Arabidopsis thaliana: one gene and its partners. The protein of the gene in region 2 interacts with the protein of the main gene of each other region in a pairwise test. Each region holds a gene or a part of one and is shown on either strand. Other genes may lie near its edges.

The links.
Region 1: the proteins of GSTU19 (region 2) and AT3G59780 interact in a protein complementation assay, tested with the Arabidopsis thaliana proteins (one large-scale study listed by BioGRID).
Region 3: the proteins of GSTU19 (region 2) and AT1G33100 interact in a protein complementation assay, tested with the Arabidopsis thaliana proteins (one large-scale study listed by BioGRID).
Region 4: the proteins of GSTU19 (region 2) and AT2G40270 interact in a protein complementation assay, tested with the Arabidopsis thaliana proteins (one large-scale study listed by BioGRID).

Annotation. Positions count from the first base shown.
Region 1 is NC_003074.8:22,084,593-22,091,052, forward strand, and holds AT3G59780 (Rhodanese/Cell cycle control phosphatase superfamily protein), read left to right. Parts: upstream 1-1,740; 5' UTR 1,741-1,966; intron 1,967-2,071; 5' UTR 2,072-2,313; coding exon 2,314-2,358; intron 2,359-2,521; coding exon 2,522-3,529; intron 3,530-3,625; coding exon 3,626-3,726; intron 3,727-3,825; coding exon 3,826-3,940; intron 3,941-4,091; coding exon 4,092-4,169; intron 4,170-4,336; coding exon 4,337-4,429; intron 4,430-4,540; coding exon 4,541-4,624; intron 4,625-4,717; coding exon 4,718-4,816; intron 4,817-4,928; coding exon 4,929-4,991; intron 4,992-5,067; coding exon 5,068-5,098; intron 5,099-5,208; coding exon 5,209-5,255; intron 5,256-5,338; coding exon 5,339-5,397; intron 5,398-5,494; coding exon 5,495-5,732; 3' UTR 5,733-5,937; downstream 5,938-6,460. Other genes in the region: SAC9 (sacI homology domain-containing protein / WW domain-containing protein), read right to left, coding at 1-10, 121-253, 375-970, 1,064-1,082.
Region 2 is NC_003070.9:29,485,851-29,489,926, forward strand, and holds GSTU19 (glutathione S-transferase TAU 19), read right to left. Parts: upstream 2,158-4,076; 5' UTR 1,970-2,157; coding exon 1,655-1,969; intron 1,154-1,654; coding exon 809-1,153; 3' UTR 537-808; downstream 1-536. UniProt on the Arabidopsis thaliana protein: Catalyzes the glutathionylation of 12-oxophytodienoate (OPDA). In vitro, possesses glutathione S-transferase activity toward 1-chloro-2,4-dinitrobenzene (CDNB) and benzyl isothiocyanate (BITC), and glutathione peroxidase activity toward cumene hydroperoxide.
Region 3 is NC_003070.9:11,995,624-12,001,934, forward strand, and holds AT1G33100 (MATE efflux family protein), read left to right. Parts: upstream 1-1,876; 5' UTR 1,877-2,059; coding exon 2,060-2,323; intron 2,324-3,363; coding exon 3,364-3,905; intron 3,906-4,350; coding exon 4,351-4,437; intron 4,438-4,612; coding exon 4,613-4,669; intron 4,670-4,799; coding exon 4,800-5,038; intron 5,039-5,140; coding exon 5,141-5,259; intron 5,260-5,342; coding exon 5,343-5,429; intron 5,430-5,604; coding exon 5,605-5,685; 3' UTR 5,686-5,798; downstream 5,799-6,311. Other genes in the region: AT1G33090 (MATE efflux family protein), read left to right, coding at 78-316, 421-539, 639-725, 839-919.
Region 4 is NC_003071.7:16,821,429-16,826,767, forward strand, and holds AT2G40270 (Protein kinase family protein), read right to left. Parts: upstream 3,733-5,339; 5' UTR 2,900-3,732; coding exon 2,818-2,899; intron 2,710-2,817; coding exon 2,640-2,709; intron 2,288-2,639; coding exon 1,884-2,287; intron 1,783-1,883; coding exon 1,592-1,782; intron 1,514-1,591; coding exon 1,381-1,513; intron 1,298-1,380; coding exon 708-1,297; 3' UTR 506-707; downstream 1-505. Other genes in the region: AT2G40280 (S-adenosyl-L-methionine-dependent methyltransferases superfamily protein), read right to left, coding at 4,279-4,480, 4,668-4,862, 4,958-5,197, 5,289-5,339.

The DNA of each region.
Region 1 (6,460 bases), on a different chromosome or scaffold from region 2:
ACTTCGTTACCTGCACTACACATATACTTCTAAATTAGGCCCTAGTCAATCCAGAGCCACACTTTTTAAGAGAACAACAAAGAAATTAAGAGAGAGGAGCATTTTAGGGGGGCATGTCACCTGTGCCAGAACATGAATTAATGCCCCTAGCTAGGTAACGAGTCCCTGGATGCAGTCTGCTACGACGGGCCATTAGAGCAACAATCCCTTCTAGCTGGCCTGAGCTCCCAAAAGGTCGATATTCTGCAAACCCCTATAATTAACATCAAATAAGAAGATGATGTCATATCAATTTATATGCTTTTGAATCTTCACACAAAACCGAAATCGGATAGGTAGATCAACCTTCATCAATTCATTAATGGAGGACGAACCTGCAGAAGAATGACACAGTGTTCAGGTAGCCCAATATTCTTAAAAGGCACGGACAACCATCTATTCCAAACAAATTCATCATCAGGGCTTTGAAGTGGCATACGGCTTGGGAAGGGCCGAGTGATGTCTCTAGTATCACAGAAATAGTGCTTCCCGTCGATGTCAAGCTCAGTCAACTCCTGAATATTCTTGGTTTCACCTTTCCCTTGAGGCTGTGGATTGTAGAGTGGTATTTTGACCCATTGACTCTCAGCCACTGTATATACACATCCACCACCAGGCAAATCTGGAATACTTGGATTTAGCCTGGTCGCAACTAAAAGCATCCCAAAGCTCCCCAAGACAGCATAACCGAGTATTGCCCTGGCATAAACAGAGCTTCTAACACCTCCTCTTGATCCATTCGTAATATAATCTAAGGCTTCACGCTCTGACTTAAAATTATCAAGGCCAGGCTTCCCATTGTACCGCAGGATACCAGTCGTAGGATCGATATAGATAACTTGAGTATCAGCCTTAGATAACAAACTTGCAATGACATAGACTTCACCAGTGTCTAAGGTGACAACAACTACAGATGTCTTTTTTGAACCACCTACACCAAGAAGATAAGAAAATTAGCCAACCAAATGATGAAAACAGCTAGAGTGAAAAAAAAAAACACTTGAATCTTCAAAAAGAAACTAACCTGGTGGATGCAGATCCATCTGAGCTCAGGACCAAGCGGACCAGGTGCCCTCTTTGACAGCTTCAGGGACCAAGATATCAATGTGGAACCAAAAATCTAGCAAAAAGTCAACGAAATAAGGAACTTCCATCAGAGAAATAAAAAGCAATGGAATCCAAAAAATGTAGCATAGTTAGTTCTATACTTAAAACGATTCATCAACGCCAATTAAAATCAAAACAGAGAGATCATCTTCCTAACAATAATCTCCGATATAACTGAGACAAAAGATCAGAATTTTCTCACAAATTTCGATAGAAGTAATAAAAAAAACGAGTACCAGAGATCTGAGACTTTTTCCGAGAATAGCAAAATTAAAGACGCAAATCGATAATTCAAATTCCGAGAAAGCAGAAAGATAAATTCTTCAGAGAACCCGAATCGAATCATAAGTCATAAGAGAAGGAACTCACCTTGAAGTTGTAGAGATGATCAGATGCAAAATTTACCAAGTCGTTCGTAGACGAACAAACGAAGAGGAAGAAGAGTAAATCTGCTGTTACCCAACACACAGTACAAAAACAATCATAGTACGACACGTGTGAATCTGTTTAATTGATTTATGAAAAAAGAGAAGAAATTATTGATAACTTGAAAATTGGTCCAATTAGTTTTAAAATGTAACGAATAGACCCAATCAAAAGAAAAGACAAAATAAAGTATAGAGATGATGAATTAACGGCTTTGGACAAGCCACACGATTCGCTTTGCTTATCTTGCTCCACCCAATCCAAATTGAGACACAATCTCTATCGAATCCACGCGCCTCTATCTTTTTTCAATCGAGTCGCCATTAACATATTTCATCAAGCTCAGTCCACTCTTCTCATGAAACTTCATCATCATCGACCTTGACCCTGATAGGTTATTAAAGTTACTGCATTTGATCTCTCTTTGAACTGCTTCTGTTGTTCAAGGTTCCAAACATGCTCAGACTCAGTAATTGAATAATGGGTATTCTTGTTGCAGGTTTCAGACGACACCCATTATTGTAAATCTGCTGCTGGAGTCTTTTTTGTCTGAATCTTCTTCTTGTTGAGACACTGTTTCTTCTTGGTCTGTGATTTTTGTTTTGTTCTCATTAGGACGTTCTTTATTCCGGTTCAGATTTACTGGATCGTCATTTTCTCTTTGAAATTGTATTTTTTTGTTCCTTTTCTGGTATGTTGTGAAAGCTATGAGATTGCTGTAAGAATCCAAGACTGACCAACATGTTTCCCCTGTGCTCGGCCACAAGCTGCCGTTACCATTCTCAGGTTAGATTTTCTTTATAGAAGTGAAAGTAAATAAGCTAACTGGTAGCAAATTTATTGAAGTCATCCAATTTGAGCTATGGGTGTTACGCTTTGTTAGTGCTTTGGGTTTTTGGATTCATTTTCATAGATAAGTAAGTACCTCATAACGGGTTTGTTTCTGCAGATTTTATTTCCTGGCAATTGGCGAGGCTGTTCTTCCTTCAGGAGAGAGTTGATTCACAGATACAGTTCAGGTGACAATGCCTTCTTTGGTATCTCTAATGGAACACGCCTGCAGAAGAGTTTCGTACCTCAAGCCACTGGGAGTTTCTTGACCGGTACTATCGAAAAAACAGAACAACCAGTATCAACATTCGGAAGTTTGTGCCAGAATGAGTTGGACAGAATAAACTACATGGTTTATAACATGAGTGAAGCTTTTGTAGCGAGTGATGAGGGACTGACATATGTAGAAAATGGAGAAGATGTGTTCCCTGTTGAAGCTGTTGCAGCAGATGTTTCTCCTGTTGAAGCTGTTGTACCAGATGTTTCCCCCATTGAATGCCTTTCTGCTGAGACTTTAACCGATAAGACCAGTAGCCTTATAGACTCTGTTGAATCGGGAACCAATGCGACTGTTAAAATATCTCCGGATAGTTCAGTCTCACTTCCTGATGCGAAAGCTAGCTTTGATGACTTTTCTTCTGGGCTCAAGCAGTCCTTCAGCTCTTCACTTCCTGATGCGAAAGCTAGCGTTGATGACTTTTCTTCTGGGGTCAAGGAGTCCTTCAGCTCTTCACTTAACCAAGGAGAAAATGCTGTAAAGAACACTTTGGAGTCCTTCTCCTCGTCTGTGACATCCATTACAAAGAATGCTTCTGAAGTTGTAGATAGTGCAGTTAACAGAGCGTTTTCTACGCTAGACCAAACGGGAGATGTAGCTGGAGACAAGTTTTCGAGTTTTTCTACTGGCTTGAAGGAAGCTTCAAACAGAGCAGCTGTTATTGCCATTGATCTGCTGAGGCAATCAGTTAGTCTTGGAGAGAGATCTGTAACAAATGGAGTTTCTTTTGTTGTGTACTCTTATGGATCAGCAAAAGAATTACTTCCTCCAGATGTAAAGAGTGCCCTTAACTCGTCAGAAGATGTTGCTCTAAAAGTATTGAGTCCCGTGGGAGCTGTATTGCAGCAGGTGCTTTGTCTTATATACTGAAGGTTCATTCATATTTTCGTAGAAGAAAATTAATTCTTTATGGACTACAGTTGCTAACAGTATCATGATGAACAGGTATCTGTTGCCATTGGAGGTTTGGAGAGAAATATCGGTTTGGATCCAGATGACCCAATCCTTCACCTTTTTCTCTTCGTAGGCACCACAGGAACCTTTTGGTACACGGCTTTTCTTACCCTAGAAGGATATTAAACTTGCTTTTCTTGAGAGGACAATGTAGTATAGAAGAATTTATATTTTCCACCAGATATTTGCAGGGTTCTATATCGGGTTTGGACATATGGTGGATATGCTGGAGATTTGTCTCCCAAGTCAACTCTGGACCTTTTAAAATCAAGAGACAAGTCAGTGCTCATAGATGTCAGGCCTGAAGTAAGACGCTCTTAAGTTTCTAACAAGTTCCCATTTCATGATATATAACTTTTCAAAACCCACCACAATTTGATTATTTCTTTCACATAATGTTCATCAAGGAGTTTGGGTTGAAATAAAAATGCTCATTTTGGCTACTGTCTTTTTGAAGGCCTTGAGAGAGAAAGATGGAATACCTGATCTGCGGAGATCAGCTCGATTTCGATATTCTAGCGTGACACTGCCTGAGGTTGGTTTTAGCATCCTCATTGTTGTTGACCACAGCGAATATAGAAACTCTACACATGTAATCTATGAACACAACGAGGTTTCAGCAATCAGTGCAACAGAAGTAGGATATCAGACTTTTCTTTATTCACATTTTTTATGGGTTCTTGTTCTTGATTCATGTTTAAGGTTGACGGTGATGTCAAACGGCTACTGAAAGGTGGAAGTGAAGTAGATGATATCTTGACAGCAGTAATCATCAAGAACTTGAAAATAGTTCAGGTGTGCTACCTTCATGCTTCTTTTGTAACTTACTATGGTTTTGTGGCTCGAGCTGTTTCAGTTTCTAAGTATGCTGACATCTCATAATTTTGCTTACTCTCCCACTAATAGGACAGGTCCAAGGTTGTTGTTATGGATGCTGATGGAACTCGTTCAAAGGGTATTGCAAGAGCCCTGAGAAAAGTTGGGATTAAGGCAAGTCATTCAGGCATAATTCACTTTGAACACAATAAGTTACCTTTAAACATTTTCGAATAAGCTCTTCTTTGGTTGCCTATGATGTGACAGAGGCCATACTTGATGCAAGGTGGGTATAGATCATGGGTACAGGAAGGTCTTCGTGTGAAAGAGCCAAAACCTGAGACAACACTTACCATCCTCAACGAGGTAATACCATATGAATACAAATATGTTTGGACTGTTTCTTCAGCTAGATGAAATTGAAACTGCTCTCAAATCTTTTCATCAGTAAGTTAAACATATCTTAAATGCTTTTCAGGAAGCTGAGGCGATTTTTGAGGACATAAATCCCTCTCCATTGCAACTATTTGGAGTTGGTGTGGTATGCTTCTAGTTCTATTTTTCTATTTCCGTTTAATAATAATCCCATCCTGACTAATATAAGAAGATATATGCAGGGTTTTTTCGCAGCATTGTATGCTTTGTCTGGTGCGTTTAATTCTTTCTCATTTCCCCTTTAGAATATCTCATATTCTCCACAACACACAAGCTCCTCACATCCACGTTTTGCACTAACATGATTGCTCTATCTCTCGCAGAGTGGGAGAAAACACTGCAACTCATAGCTGTCATCGGCCTTAGTCTGGTATATACTAGCCTTTCCAGTTTCTAAGTTTTGTCAAATTATAGTTGCTTTGTTTTGTTTTTCAAGTTTCAAACATTATGCAGACTATATACCTACGACTTTCTTCATATGATGACTCCGAAGACTTCAAACAAGACGTCAGGTATAAAAGCGCCATCATTAGACCCTTTTTCCATAGCAAAAACTCAGCGAAACCTCTGTTCTGTCTTAACAAAGATTGTTTCATCTTCTTCTTCAAGGCTGTTGCTTGCACCTGTGAAACTCGGAGCTCAGGCTTTCTCGTGGGCTGCAGGAAAACTAGAAACAAATGGTGTTGGCCTCCCAACTTCGCCTTCTTCTTCAGATGTTCGAAGCCGGGTTTTGCAAGCTGCTGCTAAGCATGAATCGAAACCCTCTGATGAAACTTCTGAAAGTCTCCAAGATGCATCATCGTCACCAGAAGAAGCTTTGAACAACGTTGATGTCTCCGAAGCGTAAAGACTCTGAAAATTGTTTTCTATTTTTCTTATAATTGCCAAGAATTACTTTTGTTCGTCTCTTGGAACCGTTAACATCGGCAACAGAAAAAGTGTAATAAAAAAAAACTGTTTTCTTTTCGTTCGGATGCTGAGATTTGTTTTGCAAATTTAGAACTAGCTAAATTGGGTCAAAAGTTATAGGTTACACGTAAAATTATTACAGCAATTTCTCCCCTAATAACTTTGGGCTTTAGGCCCAATAACAGAAGGCCTTAAAGTGGCATACTTAGGGTTTAGTGAAAAAGCAATCGTCATCCTTGACTCAGGGGTCAGGTCAAATCCAGGAGAAGAAGAGGTAATCATTCTACACAGATAGAAACATTTATTTTTTGTTTAATCAAAAGCTAACATTTTGTTGTGACAGTTCTCGTGTTTTCTTAATATAGATGGCAAGACTGATAATCGTGCCAGAATCCGTCTTATTAATCAAGACAAGAACAAATACAACACTCCAAAGTATCGGTTTGTTGTTAGATTTGTATCCTTTTAATTAGTTCATCACATTCCCAGTTGTTAGTGGTGTCTGTTTACATTCTTCCTATCGAGTTTTGTTTGGCCTTGAATGTGAGGAAAGCTAACTTGATTGACCGTATTCGTACACTTCACTCAGCTGCTGAAGCCATATCAATGAAGTTGACGACGAGTGAAAACGTTTCTTCTCTTTAAAAAACTGTATTTCCATCTAGT
Region 2 (4,076 bases):
TAACAGCTATACTAATTTATTGAGAGAGTATTGCACTCTATTAAATATATCACATACACCATTATTTTTTCAATATCAGCATAAGATTTATAAATACATAATGCTTTATCTATGTTTATACTCTAAATTCTTTATATATATAAAGCCTTTGAAATAATATTTTAAAATTTACTAATCGATCCCAAAAATTACAGGATAGTTCTGTGTTAATATCGTTGTTGTAATCGTAAATCAAATTCAAATCCCATGAACTGTGCGGATCATAGTAATGTTATTTGATCTACCGAATTCAAATTCGGCAAGAAACACTAAACCCGTGGCTAATCTGATCATACCGACACTAATGATCACATCAACCACATAACTTCCAATTGACTACAATATGGAGTTATGGATGCCAATTTCAATTTGGGCTTATGGATGCCAATTTGGGCTTATTAGATCCAGACCGGCTTACCATTCTCGATGTTGGAGGTTTTAATCGCCAAACTGCACTATTGTCTTTTACAGCAACATTGGCGTGATAAGCTTGGTCAGGTAGAAGAGTCGTATTGGCGTAATTACATATCAAAGTAACAAATTAATAATCATTATAGATTAACGATCATTAATTAAACTCATAGTTACAATGCATAAAAACTAGGACAAGCCATTAAATCCAGAAAACACAGGAATCTGCTACAGCAAAGACATACATTCTCTACACTCAAACCACCTCACAGATGCTCTGCATTATTTAAGAAAGACAACACACGAAAGTAAAACAGAGAGCATCTTAAGTCCGAACCATATGACAAGAGAAACATATTTACTCAGGTACAAATTTCTTCCTGAGCTCAGAGACGAATTCAGTAACCTTCTCAGGATCAGGCAAGGACTTAGCCACGCTCTCCCTCTGCAAACACTTCTTAACCCAAGCAATCAGTTTCGGAACCTCAGATTCGATACTGAAGTTAGCAAACTTCTCGTATGCTGGAAACCATGTGTAGAATCCAATCAACGCAATGTCTACATAGCCAAAGTCATCGCCACTAAAGTAAGGTTTGTCTCCAAGCTCAGATTCAAGAGTCTTGAGTATCTCAATGAAATCCTTCTTCCCTGCCTCTTGTTCCTCACCCTTTGTCGCCCACACCTTCCTCTGAGCATCATACAGCTGAAACATTGCACAGAGTAACATAACACCAAGCTATGTCAGAACTCAGTCGAACCCAAACAAAGCTCAAAGATGATGTCTACAAAGCAAAACCAGTCCTAGAGACCCCCAAATTGCAAAAGAAACATATCATCAAACTATCTAAGATGAACCCAAACAAAGCTCAAAGATGATATCTACTAGCGAAACTAGTATGTAAAAACCTCAAATTGCACAAGTAACATAACATTAAACTATCTAAGAAGACAAACCCTGACTAGCTCAGAGATGAGTCCACAAGAAAAATCTGAAATTTGGAGGTGAGATCTCTAACCCTAACAACTACAAACTCAAGTAATATTATAACATCAGACAAACCCATACAAGCTCAAAGACGAGTCTACAAGCAAAACCCTAAATTTGAGCCAATCACTAGCAAACTCAACTAAAGTTTCAATTTTTATGAAATCCCAAGTTCAATTTCAACATTATTCAATCAAGGGCACAAAGGAAATAAGATACCTTCTTGTCAATGAAATCAGCCCAGAACCTAGCTTGAGCTCTCAGGTAAGGATCAGAAGGAAGGATAGGGTTCTTGTGAGACCAGACCTCGTCAATGTACTGAACCTGGATGATAGATTCGTTAACCGGTTTACCATTGTGGATGAGAACAGGAATCTTCTTGTGAATCGGATTCATCTGGAGAAGCAAAGGACTCTTGTTCCTTAGATCTTCTTCTCTGTACTCAAATTCAACACCTTTCTCCCTCAATGCGATCCTTGTCCTCATCCCGAACATACTCGGCCAGAAATCAAGAAGAATCACCTCGTTCGCCATTGTTACGATCGCTAAAGCTCACAAAGAGATTTTTTTTTGTAAGTGTTCGTCTTTCTCGATTTGTTTGGTTGGGACACTACCTGTAAGGGTTTAGGTAATTTATAGATGAGAATATTTATGATACAATAATGGATTGTGCTGACTCTAGTCGTTACGTCACACCACTCTTTAAAAACATGTGGCCAGATTTTAAAGCTTTTTAAAGTAATAATTTATAATTACAGTATTTTCTTTTTACGTAACATATCTTCATTCGCCTTTTTTTTATCTGTTGACCATTATAGTGTTTTATATAGTAACTTGCAAATATTCGTGTGGACTCTATGATTGAAAAAAGAAAAAAAATCGTCTGAAATCTATTATCATAGTAGCAAATTTGGATTTTGGATGTTAAAGGAAATTATGGATTTCAGTTGACCAGAAACCATAATGGATTTCTAAATCAAGATTTTAGATTTCTTAGCACTGCGTTTAATTATTTTAAAAGTTGATGGAAAAGATTATTTTGTTGTAAGAAAATAACTGGATGGATTAACACAGTTTTAAATTATGTGAACAATTAATTTGACTAATGAGTATTGACGTTTTATTTCGGCACAATGTATCATTACCTGATGAAAATATCATTTATTTATAGAAGAAATGATTCATATTGAAACTTAGTTGAAAAACGTGCAAAAAAATACAGAGGACTTAGAAAAGCGAGCCAAATTTCTAGAAAGCTGTGTAGGTTGAAGAGGTGGAAGATACGTTCACGTTACCAGAATTAACTGGAAATTTTCGAGATATTTCGATGGAACTGTAGAGATTGTGTTACGTCAATAATTGTATTTATACAATTGACGTGACCACATGATCTCGAGAAGCTTGGCGACATTGATCACGAAAGCGAGAGAAGATCCTGGTTCAGTATTGGTTCTATCTTATTTTTGTTTTGGTCATGGACTTATGGTGAATTGGGCCTATATTTTACAAAAAACAATGGATCTGAACCGGGCTTCGAAAAACAGTTTTTCTTATTTGAAAACCCATTAATAAAAACAAAATCATAAGAGCGAGCAAGAAAAAAATCATACCTGACCTTTCAGAACTCCTGTGGCCAAACAAAATGATCTTCTTATTTTTAAATTCTCTTATTTTTAATTCCAAAAGATATAAACTCGCGCCAAAAATTTATGTAACTGATGCTTTAGTATCTTTAACATAGCTAGATCTATTATAAACCTATAATAGACTAGTTAACAAATTTAGCCAAATTGGATATGTCACCAGAGAAAGCAAAATCAGCTACATTGGGTATTTATATTTCGTCGAGTAATATACGGGATTTTTTTCAGGCAGATAATGTGATCTATTCATTATAGACATATATGATTGTTTCATAAGAAGAAACTAGCTCAACATACTCATATCTGCGTTGGGTTCGATATCTCACGACACGTAGCAACATACTCATGTCATAACATGATACATCTTACAATATACACAAAATAGTTGACTAAAAAAAAGCACACACACATTAGGATAAGAAGATACTTAAATTGTTATTTTTCATTGATGATTTCGAATGTGTATCTGTATCTGGAAGTCTCTATAGTGTGTAGACTTTGATCTAGAAACATCGAATGGACCCTACGCACTGTATTACGTGGCATTTTAGTTTCAACCTACAAACTCGTTACTTGATTTTGTATATTCTAATGTTTTTGAGGCGTCAAATTCCGAGACATCAACGTATTTTTCGGCGAATATACTATTTAAAAGTCATGTACAAAAATACGTATGATCTTGATGAGATTTTCCCTAGTATGATTACATATTTGATAAAAACTATTTATTTAGAAAAAAGACACAGCAGTATGCACGTTATAAATCAAAAAATGGTCTTTTTCCATGTCAAAAAAAAAAGATAGTTCCCGGAAAAAAAGAGTGGCCATGAAGTGTATTACATGTTCAAAGATTAGAATCAATCGATTGGCTACTGTGAAATGCGAGTGCTTATGTATACGCTTACGTGTATGCACTTTAGAACCAATAAGAGTAGGATAAAAGATCACAAGTCAAAACTGTGAGATGTTTCCCGTTTGCTTAAAGTAGAAATCGCAAC
Region 3 (6,311 bases), about 17 Mb from region 2:
TCTTATCTTTTTTTTTCTTGGTATGATCTTAATATTATTTATATATCACTCTTCTATGTAATTATCTCTATATATAGTGTAAGAGTGTCCAACGAGCTCGGTAGGGGAAACCCCGAAGGCGCCAAATTTGCAACAATCGTAGCGGTTTTCACGTCACTCTCTATAGGATTAGTTCTATTCTTCGTCTTCTTGTTTCTAAGGGGAAGAATTTCGTACATTTTCACTACAAGTGAAGCTGTGGCAGCCGAAGTCGCTGATCTTTCTCCACTTTTAGCATTTTCCATCCTCTTGAACAGTGTTCAACCCGTTCTCTCAGGTATATACATTAGCTAGTTCAAGCGTGATGGTTATCATCGTATCGAATTCGAACTGATATTTGAAACGTAGTATATGCCTTTAATTGGTTTCAAACCTTATCAGGAGTGGCAGTGGGAGCGGGATGGCAAGGATATGTGGCTTACATTAACCTTGCTTGCTATTACCTTCTCGGAATTCCTGTTGGTCTTGTCCTTGGTTACGTTGTTGGTTTGCAAGTCAAAGTAAGTTTTTCTCTTTATATATTTTTTCTTCATAATGAACAAAAGTAATAAAATTAACAATTGAAAACAACATAAAACTTTACTTATCTTTTTTTGAAGGGTGTATGGATAGGAATGCTTTTTGGAATATTTGTTCAGACTTGTGTGCTTACCATCATGACTCTCAGAACAGATTGGGATCAACAGGTTTAAATAAACAAAATTGTAGTTTCCCCTTCCAAAATAATTAGTTTGTTCAAGCAAGCTATGTTATTGGTTTGGAGCTTAATTATATTGTTTGTTGCCACTTTTTTCTGTAGGTATCTACGTCGTTGAAAAATATAAACCGGTGGGTTGTACCAGAATCTAGAGATGCAAATCAAATTTCATCAGAGGAATAATTCGTTTGGATTATGATATGAACAAAGATATTATATAATTATGATGTTATTTTGGGCAATAGTTCTTTCTAACTCAGATTTTCAATATGAAATAAATTTTGATGGTAATTTATTAGGCTTTTTGTTGTTGTTGTTGTTGTTGTGGTACAATGAAAAAAGAGAGTACAATCTATATAATTTATTATAATCAAAGAAGAGGATAACTAAAATTTATTAATGAGCTATTTAAAAGATAAAATCCCTTTTAGTTCTTTAATTTCACCAACATGTTAACTCATAGTAAAATTAAACTTTGGTAGAATTTTGAGATATACTAGTTATTGAAATAGTGCGAATTAGGGTATGACCAATAAAAAGAAGAGAGTACCTTTGGAATTTTGGGGAAATTTGTGTGCTTACTACTATGATGACACTAAAAGAGATTAAAATAATCATGTTTTATAAACTGATTACCATTTAAAAAAAATGAAATTTCTTCGTTTATCATAGGAAAAGTACAAACATGTTTAAAGAAATTATATTGGTAATTATTTTTAAAAGATCTTCGTGGCTAAAACGTTAAATTGATTGATTCATTTTGACAAAGAAAAATAAACGTTTGATTCTGGAAATCCTCATAATAAATATATACGACAATCTTAATTCACTAAAAATTGTAATTGCTTACGTTGCTTAGAACAAGAATTTGACTATTGTAGTTTGATATGCTCGTTTCTTGATTTTTTTTTTATATTTTTATTTTTTTTAAATGGGTTTATTATGCAACACATAGACACGAGACTCACGACCAAGAAATATGTATATGAATAATTATATTTTTGATAAAAATATTTTGTTTTATTCCAATATACTTTCCAAACACACACTTTTTAAGCATATATAAAGATAAAGTTTAGATATGAATTATAGATAATTGCATTTAAACAAATGATCGATGAATGCACGATCTTAGGTGATCTTAAAATGCATCTATTTCTTAGAGTATTTTCATCACTTAGTCACTCACTGCTACAAAAGGCGTTGACGACCTTTTGTTTCCCAGCTGAAATATAAAAAAAATTGCTTCTTAAACTCAAACTCTCTGCTCTCTCTTTCTTCTATTTATTTCCTCCTATCAGATAAAAACACATAGACTCCACGATGGCCGGAAGAGGAGGAGAGCTCACGGAGGCTCTGGTGAAAAAGACCGGCAGAGAAGAAGAGGATGAGTTGGGGATGAAGGAGAAGGTTTGGATTGAATCAAAGAAACTGTGGGTTGTGGCGGCGCCAGCGATCTTCACAAGATACTCTACGTTCGGAGTTTCAATGGTAACTCAAGCTTTCATTGGCCATCTTGGCCCAACCGAGTTGGCCGCTTACTCTATCACCTTCACCATTCTCCTCCGTTTCAGTAATGGTATCTTGGTGAGTTTACTATAGCGATCTTGGTAATGGTATACGTAGCTTCATTTATATCAATTTTTCCAATTTTATTTAATCTAATGAATCCCTTGATTACTATGGATTCTTCTCCGCTTCAGTAATGGTATCGTGGTGGTGAGTACTACTTCAATTTTTATTTAATCTAATCTCTTGATTATTAGTGATTAAGAAATAACTATATTACAAGGTCAGACCATGTAGGTGAAAATTAAAAAAAAAAAACATGTAGGTGAATTTATGCTATAACTAAGTTGCATGGAAACGGAAACAGAAACGCGGATGCGAAACGTTTCAGAAACGGGAATCAATTTTTTATTAAAATTAGAGATTAGAAACGTTTTAAAAACATATAAATATATATATATATATACATAAAACTATATTAAATAAAAAATGATTTAAACAATATAAGTCTAAACTATCAATATTAAATAAGCTAACTAAAATTCTAAAAGATAAAGATTAAAATTTAAAAGATTCAAATTTTAATATCTAATTTAGACCAACATTTTTATTCTTATTTTCATTAGTTTCATCAAAGATAATATAAAACTCTCTTCAAATCTGGTTTATCAAGAAAAAAATCTTAAAACTAAGAGTTTTCCAAAATTAGTTATATGTATTAATAATCTTAATATTTCCAATTTTAGTTATTAAATTTTCAAAGTCAATAAAAAATATTTGTCGTATGTCTATTTCAAAAACGCGAGTTTTCATCGTGTTTCCAAACATGGATTTTTAGGAAACGCGTTTCCGTAATAATTTTTGCGTTTCCGAAACGTTTTCAAAATAAGTTAGACCAAAACTATATTATAAAATTTGGTCTCACTTATTTGAATTTTTAATACAGATTAGGTGGTCGTGTGAAGAAACTATTATCAAACTCAATTAAAATTTGTATAAGTTTATATGGTTTTGGAGTATTTTTTGGATATGTAATTCCGGTTAACATTTATTTTGAAACTACACAATGCAAAACTACAGCTGTCTCAAATTTGGTTATAACTATTGTTCTACTGCAGTTAGGTATGGCCGGTGCACTAGGAACATTATGTGGTCAAGCCTACGGAGCCAAACAATACCAGATGCTCGGGATCTACCTCCAAAGGTCATGGATCGTCCTCACAGGTGGTACCATTTGCCTCATGCCCGTCTTCATCTTTGCGGGCCCTATCCTCTTAGCTTTAGGTCAAGAGGAACGCATTGTTCGTGTGGCTCGGGTCTTAGCCCTATGGGTCATAGGCATCAACTTCTCCTTCGTGCCCTCCTTCACTTGCCAAATGTTTCTCCAAGCTCAGAGCAAGAACAAGATTATTTCCTACGTGACTGCTGTCTCCTTAGGGCTCCATGTCTTCTTCTCGTGGCTCCTAGTGGCTCATTTCAATTTTGGGATCACTGGTGCGATGACCTCTATGCTAATTGCGTTCTGGTTGCCTATCATTGTGCAGCTCTTGTATGTAACATGTGGTGGATGTAAGGATACATGGAGAGGATTCTCTATGTTGGCCTTCAAAGATTTGTGGCCCGTCTTAAAACTATCTTTGTCTTCCGGTGGAATGCTTTGGTAAGGTTTCCTATTTTTGTTTTGTGTTTTGAACACTTAATTAAGGAATTAGCTAGTAGTGGATCAACCAAATGTTTTCATACTGATAGCTTTAGTTTTCATTGTCATTGTTGGTCAAAACAAGAGATTGGTTCCACTTGATGCATATACTTAGTCCATGTATTAGTTTTCAGGCTGTAAACTATATAATATAATTATCAATCTTGTAGGATTTGATCCGACTGTTACATTTACGCATATACTCCTGAGAATGTTAGGAGTATATTATACACACTTTTAGGAGTATATTTTTTTTTTGGTGAATTACTTTTAGGAGTATATTATATTCACTGATAATTTAATGATAGTTCTAGTTACTTTTTTCTTTTGTTTTTTTTTTTCTTTCTAATTTACTTATCTTTTTAAAAATTGATGATGATTACTTTGTGGTCGTTATTTTTTACAGCTTGGAGTTATGGTACAACTCGGTATTGGTATTGCTCACTGGAAATTTGAAAAACGCAGAGGTGGCTCTTGATGCACTAGCAATCTGGTAAATAAACAAGAATTGACCTTCTATATCTATTCTGATCTCCATACAAAACATTGAAACATAAATACATTTTCTTTAGTACTAACTTGACTCATAAGTTATAGTATTGTATGAGTAATGGTACATACAAATAATATATTATAAATCGACTAATCTTTTCCATTTATCTTCGCAGCATCAGCATAAATGCACTGGAGATGATGATAGCACTTGGGTTTTTGGCAGCAGTAAGGTGCATTGATACATATATAGATTATATACAACACACTTCACTTTATTGATACTATTTCTATATTATCTTTTTTTCTTGGTATGATCTTTTATTTATATATCATCTTATTTGTAATTATCTATATAAATAGTGTAAGAGTGTCCAACGAGCTCGGTAGTGGAAACCCCAAAGGAGCCAAGTTTGCAACATTGATAGCGGTTTTCACGTCACTCTCTATAGGAATAGTTCTATTCTTCGTTTTTTTGTTTTTGAGGGGAAGAATTTCCTACATTTTCACTACAAGTGAAGCTGTCGCGGCCGAAGTTGCTGATCTTTCTCCACTTTTAGCATTTTCCATCCTCTTGAACAGTGTTCAACCTGTTCTCTCTGGTATATATTTTAGCTAGTTGACGCGTAATGGTTATTATAGTATCGGATTCGAACCAATATTTGGAGTAGTATTTATCTATAATTGGTTTAAAACCTTAACAGGAGTGGCAATCGGAGCGGGATGGCAAGGATATGTGGCTTACGTTAACCTTGCTTGCTATTACCTTGTCGGAATTCCTATTGGTGTTATCCTTGGTTATGTTGTTGGTTTGCAAGTGAAAGTAAGTTTTTCAGTTTATATATTTTTCTTTTATGTTGAAAAGTAATAAAACTAACATAAAACTTTACTTCTTTAATTTTGAAGGGTGTATGGATAGGAATGCTTTTTGGAATATTCGTTCAGACTTGTGTGCTCACCGTCATGACTCTCAGAACAGATTGGGATCAACAGGTCAGAAGTTGATTACTATATAATATTCCCTGAATTAATTTGTTTAAGAAAAAAAATTGTAGTTTCTCCTTCCAAAATAATAAGTTTGTTCCTTAGCAAAAATAATAATTAGTTTGTTCAAGCAAGCTATGTTCTTGGATTGCAGCTTATACTGTTTGTTGCCACTTTTTTGTAGGTATCTACGTCGTTGAGAAATATAAACCGGTGGGTTGTACCAGAATCTAGAGATGCAAATCAAATTTCATCAGAGGAATAATTAATTTGGATTATGATATGAAGATATGATAGATTTAAAGATTATGATGATGTTCCTTTTTTATGAAATGTGAAAAAAAAAATTGATAAAAAATAAAGGTTGTTTACAGAAGTTTTTAAGGAGCTTGTGAATTACACAAAAACAAGAGCATACAAAGAAAAAACAGACCTTCACGTTACGGTCCATTAAATCTTGAACTGAACCACCGTAGCAACAGCCCTCTTAGCTTCCAATTTTCGTAGTACCTCAAAGACATGATTTAGCTTAGAGATTTTTATCTGAATATAATCAGCTTAGTGTTGAATTTGAGTTATATATACTCTTTTTCTCTCGGTGTTCTATTGTATTATGTCATTATGTGTGTAGAACTAGAATCGTCTCCTTTGCCCGTAAACATAGCCAAAATATTGTTAGTACCAAGAAACGTAAATTTGGCCATGCATATATATATAATTTACTCCATTTGTTACTACAGTTTTTTGGATTTGTTTGGTGACTTTAAAAATGTTTTCATGTTCGTGACCTCATGATGATGATTGATCGATTGTGAAAAAAGGACAGCTTTTGTAAGGAAATACCGATCTAATACTACAGTGACGCGACTGCTTACGTAGACTTCTTTGCCT
Region 4 (5,339 bases), on a different chromosome or scaffold from region 2:
GACTCTACTCTTCCCAAATTATCTATAGAAGATGTTAATTAGTGTTAAAATCATTATTGATTGATTGTTGAGGATTAAAAAGAGTAGAGGTCTTTTTACATTAAAAATAAAGTAAAGGGGTTTCCGTGCAACAAAAGTATTACAAACCCATCACTTATTAGGTTTCCGTTTTCTCTTGGAAGTAGAAGACGACTAGACTATTCAGCGAAATCACAGGAATATGTATGATGTGATGTCGGATGAAGCGAACTTGTGGTTTCACGAAGACGAACCTCCTCTCCGTAAGCGGTAGATGGAAGAAGCTCCACCTTCACCTGTCAAAGACCTTTATTTCTCCGACGAAGAAGACATGAGTCCCGAGGAACTATTTGCCAAGTTATTCAAGAATAAAATATCTCTTCAAACCATGAAAATATTTATGCACACTTATATTCTTAAAAGTATTTTGCAATTTCTCCTCTTATCATTTTGCTACAAAATAACTTTGAACAAAAGAATGCATTCATATAGAAGAAAACGGATATAATTTTCACAAGAACTTTTTTCCGATATGCACACTAATTTATCATATACATGTTTGTAAATTTACTAAACTTGAAGAGAACTTCAATTTTGCTTTACCAATATTACGAGAGATAAATAAAACAGACACTTACAAAACTCACATCTTCAAAATATATACAGTTTTATTAGTGAAGGGGTCTCTCTTACGCCGTGGACAAAACCTCCAACTCTGCCCACCAAAGAGGTGACAATTTCGGTGTAGCATCGTTCGGTGACAATCCCGTGATCTCCCGTAACCATCCTGTGACTTCTTGCATTGTAGGTCTCTCTTTCGGGTCAGTCCTAAGGCATGATTTGATCACTTCACCTATATTCTCAATCTTGGCATCATAAGATTCCAGTGTTGGATCTACCATTTTGGCTAGAGTCTCTCCTCTTAAGAAATCAACCAGCGAGCTATCTACTGAGTCAGGTTTGTTAACGGATTCTATGAGTTTCCCGGTTATCATTTCGAATAACAGTAAACCAAAGCTGTAAATGTTGTCTTCTGGATTCAAGGCTGAGATGTGTGTGTCTATGACTGTGTTGTTGTTGATGTTAGTCTCTGTCTCAGATGAACCGAAACTGAAATCTGATACTTTGACAGCATAATCCTCTGTGAGCTGAAGAGATGATGAGACGAGATTGGTGTGAGCTATAGGTGGATTGAGTTGGTGCATATGGTCAAGGCAATATGCTAATCCCATTGCAATTCTTAACCGCATTCCCCAATCCAAGTGTTCTGATTCTTTATCTGTAACAAAAAAATGATTAGCTTCTCTTTAGATCACAAAGAAATGAAGCCAACATGGCTGATTGTGTGACAAAAGTACTCACAATGTAAATGCTCAAAGAGTGATCCATTTGGAGCATACTCAAAGATCAAGATCCTGGTGAAAGGTTCCTTTTCTTCACAATAACCAAGAAGGTTTGCAAAATTCTTGTGGTTGATCTTCGATAACATTTCGATCTGAAATCGTGAAAACAGAACGCGCTAAGTCGACTATATGTTGTTGTTATAAGAAAACAAAAATGGGGAAAACAATACCTTCTTCCTGAAGTGAATTTCTGTACTGTCCTTCCAGTCTTTGGCAGTAGTAGTAGCAAAAGAAGCAACAGCAATCTCCACTCCACTTGATAATGTTCCTTTGAACAACTTCCCAATGGGACAAGATCCAATGACATTACTAAAATCTTCACATGCAGCTTCAATCTCAGATCTTTTGAGTACAGGAATACCTGAGTATCAAAAACCACACATTGATGAAACCAAATGAGACAAATTTGGTTACTACTCCAAGTAAGTGCACTTGCCAAAACAATTCAAGAAAGGAAATTACCAGTAACGAATACTTTCTGAAGTTGTCCACTAAGACCAGTACGCCAAGGATTCACAGTTTTCCCGGCCTTACTTGTGAAAAAGTAGAGACCGGTAGCTACAAGGAGAAGAAAAAAAGCACCGCCTACGCAGCCAACAACTAAAGGAACAGAAGAATGAGAGTTTCTTGGAATGGGAGAGTTTGCAAGTGGCGCAGATGGAGAAGGTGAAACATCTTGTGTAGATGATCTCTTTTGTGGCTCTGAAACTGTTGAAGCTTTAGTTGAAACATGTTTTGGAGCAGGTTCTGGGGATGATGATGGTGTTGTAGTTGCAGCCACAACACGGTTTTTGCGGTCTTTTCTTGAAGGCAAGTCTTTGTAAGGGTTACGGACAAGTGTTTTCCTGTGAAATCCAAAAGCTTTCCTAAGAAAAGGTAGAAGAAGAAATTAAGCCATTGCACAACATGCTCTAAATATAGCAAGTTTAGAAGTGTCGGTTACAAGTAACAACAGTTTCTTCTACCATACATACATAGAGAGAATGAAGCTATGAAATGATTAGAGAAATTTGTAGATCTTGACTACATATATGTTGTTGTTATACCAAAAAATCTTTCAAAGTCAAGATAGATTGAGAGTAGAGAATAAAAAGTAGTAAAATCGAAACTTTAAGAGTTGTTCTTAGGAAACTGAGAAATTGAATCAGCACAAGTGACAAGAGTGTTTCTAATCTAAAGACCCAATAGAAATCTCAGAAACCTGAAGCTGCTACTTACAAATACGTGGAATCTTCATCTGACGATAGATCTTTCTTTAAACTATCTTCACTTTTGAGAAAATCTACAGCTGAAAACGTAAAAGCGAAACAGAGGATGTGAATCAGGGAACTGGATTCTGTTTCTACACTACCAAAGAGACAAAAACGAGTAAGTGAAACGGAAAAAAAGTCTCTACCTTGGTCCTTGAGAGAACAACACGAACCGAACCAGCTCAGAAGGAGCACAAAAGCCACAAAAGAACGCATTTTGAACAACATCGATCGAGTGAATCGAGAAGAACAATAACAACAACAACAACAACAGTAAGTGTTGTGAGCAGAAGATGATGAAATCGAGTTTACTATGGATTAGAATTAGAGATAAGAGATCAGAGAAGCAATCAGAAAAAGCGGAAGAAGCTGAAGACGAAAAGAGACTTATTAGCAGACGAGTTTTTGATTGAAGAAAGCGCGTCCGCCGTGTTTTGCCCGATTGAGGAAACTTGACTTTTAGGAGATTTTATTTTATTTTATTGGTCAAGAAGAACTAAATAAGTGTGCGTATTTTTCTCAACCAATCAACGTTTTTCTTTTTGTATTTTTATGAAAATTAAACTTTTCTGCAGAAACTTTTTATTTGTTTTTTCTCCAAGGATTATTGTCAAATACCAATATTGTACGATGTTCGAATCATACTTGACTTATTCCGAACCACGAATACTGTATCATTTTCTTTTCTTTACAAGTTATCCATTTAGATTGATCTTATTGCATCGTAATTTAAAGTGGTGAGGATTTTCTGTAACTAAAAAATATTATATATATATATAAACGTTAGGTGAAAAAAAAAAATGTGTAATACGGCTTAATATTAACTAATATACTATTATACCTGGTAAAATGTAGTTACAGAACTAAAAGGGGTTCAAAAGAAAAGGCTCAATTAGACAGCCAGCCAGCCATCCACCGTTGAAAAAGACTTGTGGCGTAGGGAATGGACGAATGGTTCCACCTTCTTGATTTTCTTGGTTATTTCTTACAATTTGTGTCGGTTATAAATAAAATTCAACGAGAGCCACGATAGATTTGGTGTGATGATATTTGAATGATTGAGGTTGAAGGAATGATTGTCATCTTAAGTAATGTGAGACTATTTCAAAGTGGAAGGTTGCTTAGCTGTTGCTTTCTTCGTCCCCAATTCTCTTCCCATGTGGGATCCTCGTGGTCTGGTCACTTGTCATCAACCAAACCCCTCTATGTTTTAGTTATCTTAATTCTAATTCACATTCTACTATTTTTATTTTGTCAACATTTCCATATTCTTTTGTTATAGGAACCAATGTGACAAAAACAAAATATCCTTGAGAATCTTTTTTTTTTTTTTTGGACAAAACCTTGAGAATCTAAGATATAAGAAACAATTTGTTTTGCTCAAAACAATATATGTTGTTGGCAAAAGAATTATTCTCGTTAACTTTAATATCTTATGTAGTCTTTAGTGACTCGGTTTCGTTCAATTCTTCTTATGGAACAAAATCAGAAAGTCAAAACAAAACCCCCTTAATGGGTTATATAGTACGCTGTGATATAATCTGGTTGCGTCATTGATAGTAGTGTACAAATTTACTTTGCTAGTATGTTTATGTCTCTCGTTCTGTCTATCTGAGCTCCGGTTTAGCGGGACGCCAAAATCCCTTCCGACCAACCAAAAACCGGTCCTCGTATATTTTGGTTGACCAATGAAGCGAACCAAGTATGGATTCAAGCTTCATTATTGTTTCCATGTTGTCTTGTACCACAAGATATCCACCTGGTCTCACTATCCGATCTATCTCAGCTACCACTTGTACAATCTCACACCTGAAATTGACCCAAAAAACACATATTAAAGGTTAACCACACTATTCGCAATATCAAACCGAGTTTGGTATGACAACTCCGACTTTGGTTAAGCTAACCGTGAACCGAACCAAAACAGTGAATGCCTACTGGCTACTGCTAAAGAACTGAAACTCTATAGATATACAAACTCAGATCTGTTGTTTACCTTTGTGTGAGATCACCTAGGAGGAAACTGGAATGTAACAGATCGTATGTTCTAGGGTAAGTGTTGACGGACTCACACCAATCATGGTAAACTCCGATCAAGCCTCGATCATAAACGACGGAGAGAGTGTCAGGTTTATCCACAGGGACAACATTCATCACCCAGAGTGGTAGATTTATAAGTGCAGCAGCAAAACTATACCAAAAAGAAGAAAAGAAGAAAAACTTGTGTCAAGTTTCAGTTTGGGATAAACCGGATTCTGGTTAAAGTTTCAGAGATTGTAAATGTACCCGCCAAAACCAGCATTCATGTCCATCACATTCCGCACAGTCGACCAGTTTACAGCTAGATGTTTGAGGTAAACATCAGAAACACTTGCTGACCATTTCTCTGTATCTTTCTTCAATGTTTCCGCTTTAACTGAAATGCTTTGCGGTTTAACACTCACAAGCCGTTTAGGCCATAGTTCAGGCCAACTCTGGACATTTCCACTAGGTAACTTGGAAAGGCATTTAGCGAGAGGAACATACCTAAAATTAATCAGAAGGAAATGTTACAAAAAATAGTGGACATTACTTATATGTGAATGTAAAGCATCATTTTGTGTAATAGTTTTTTTACCATGAACCATTTGCTTCCTTTTTATCACAAAGTGGTGGATCTTGTGTGCTG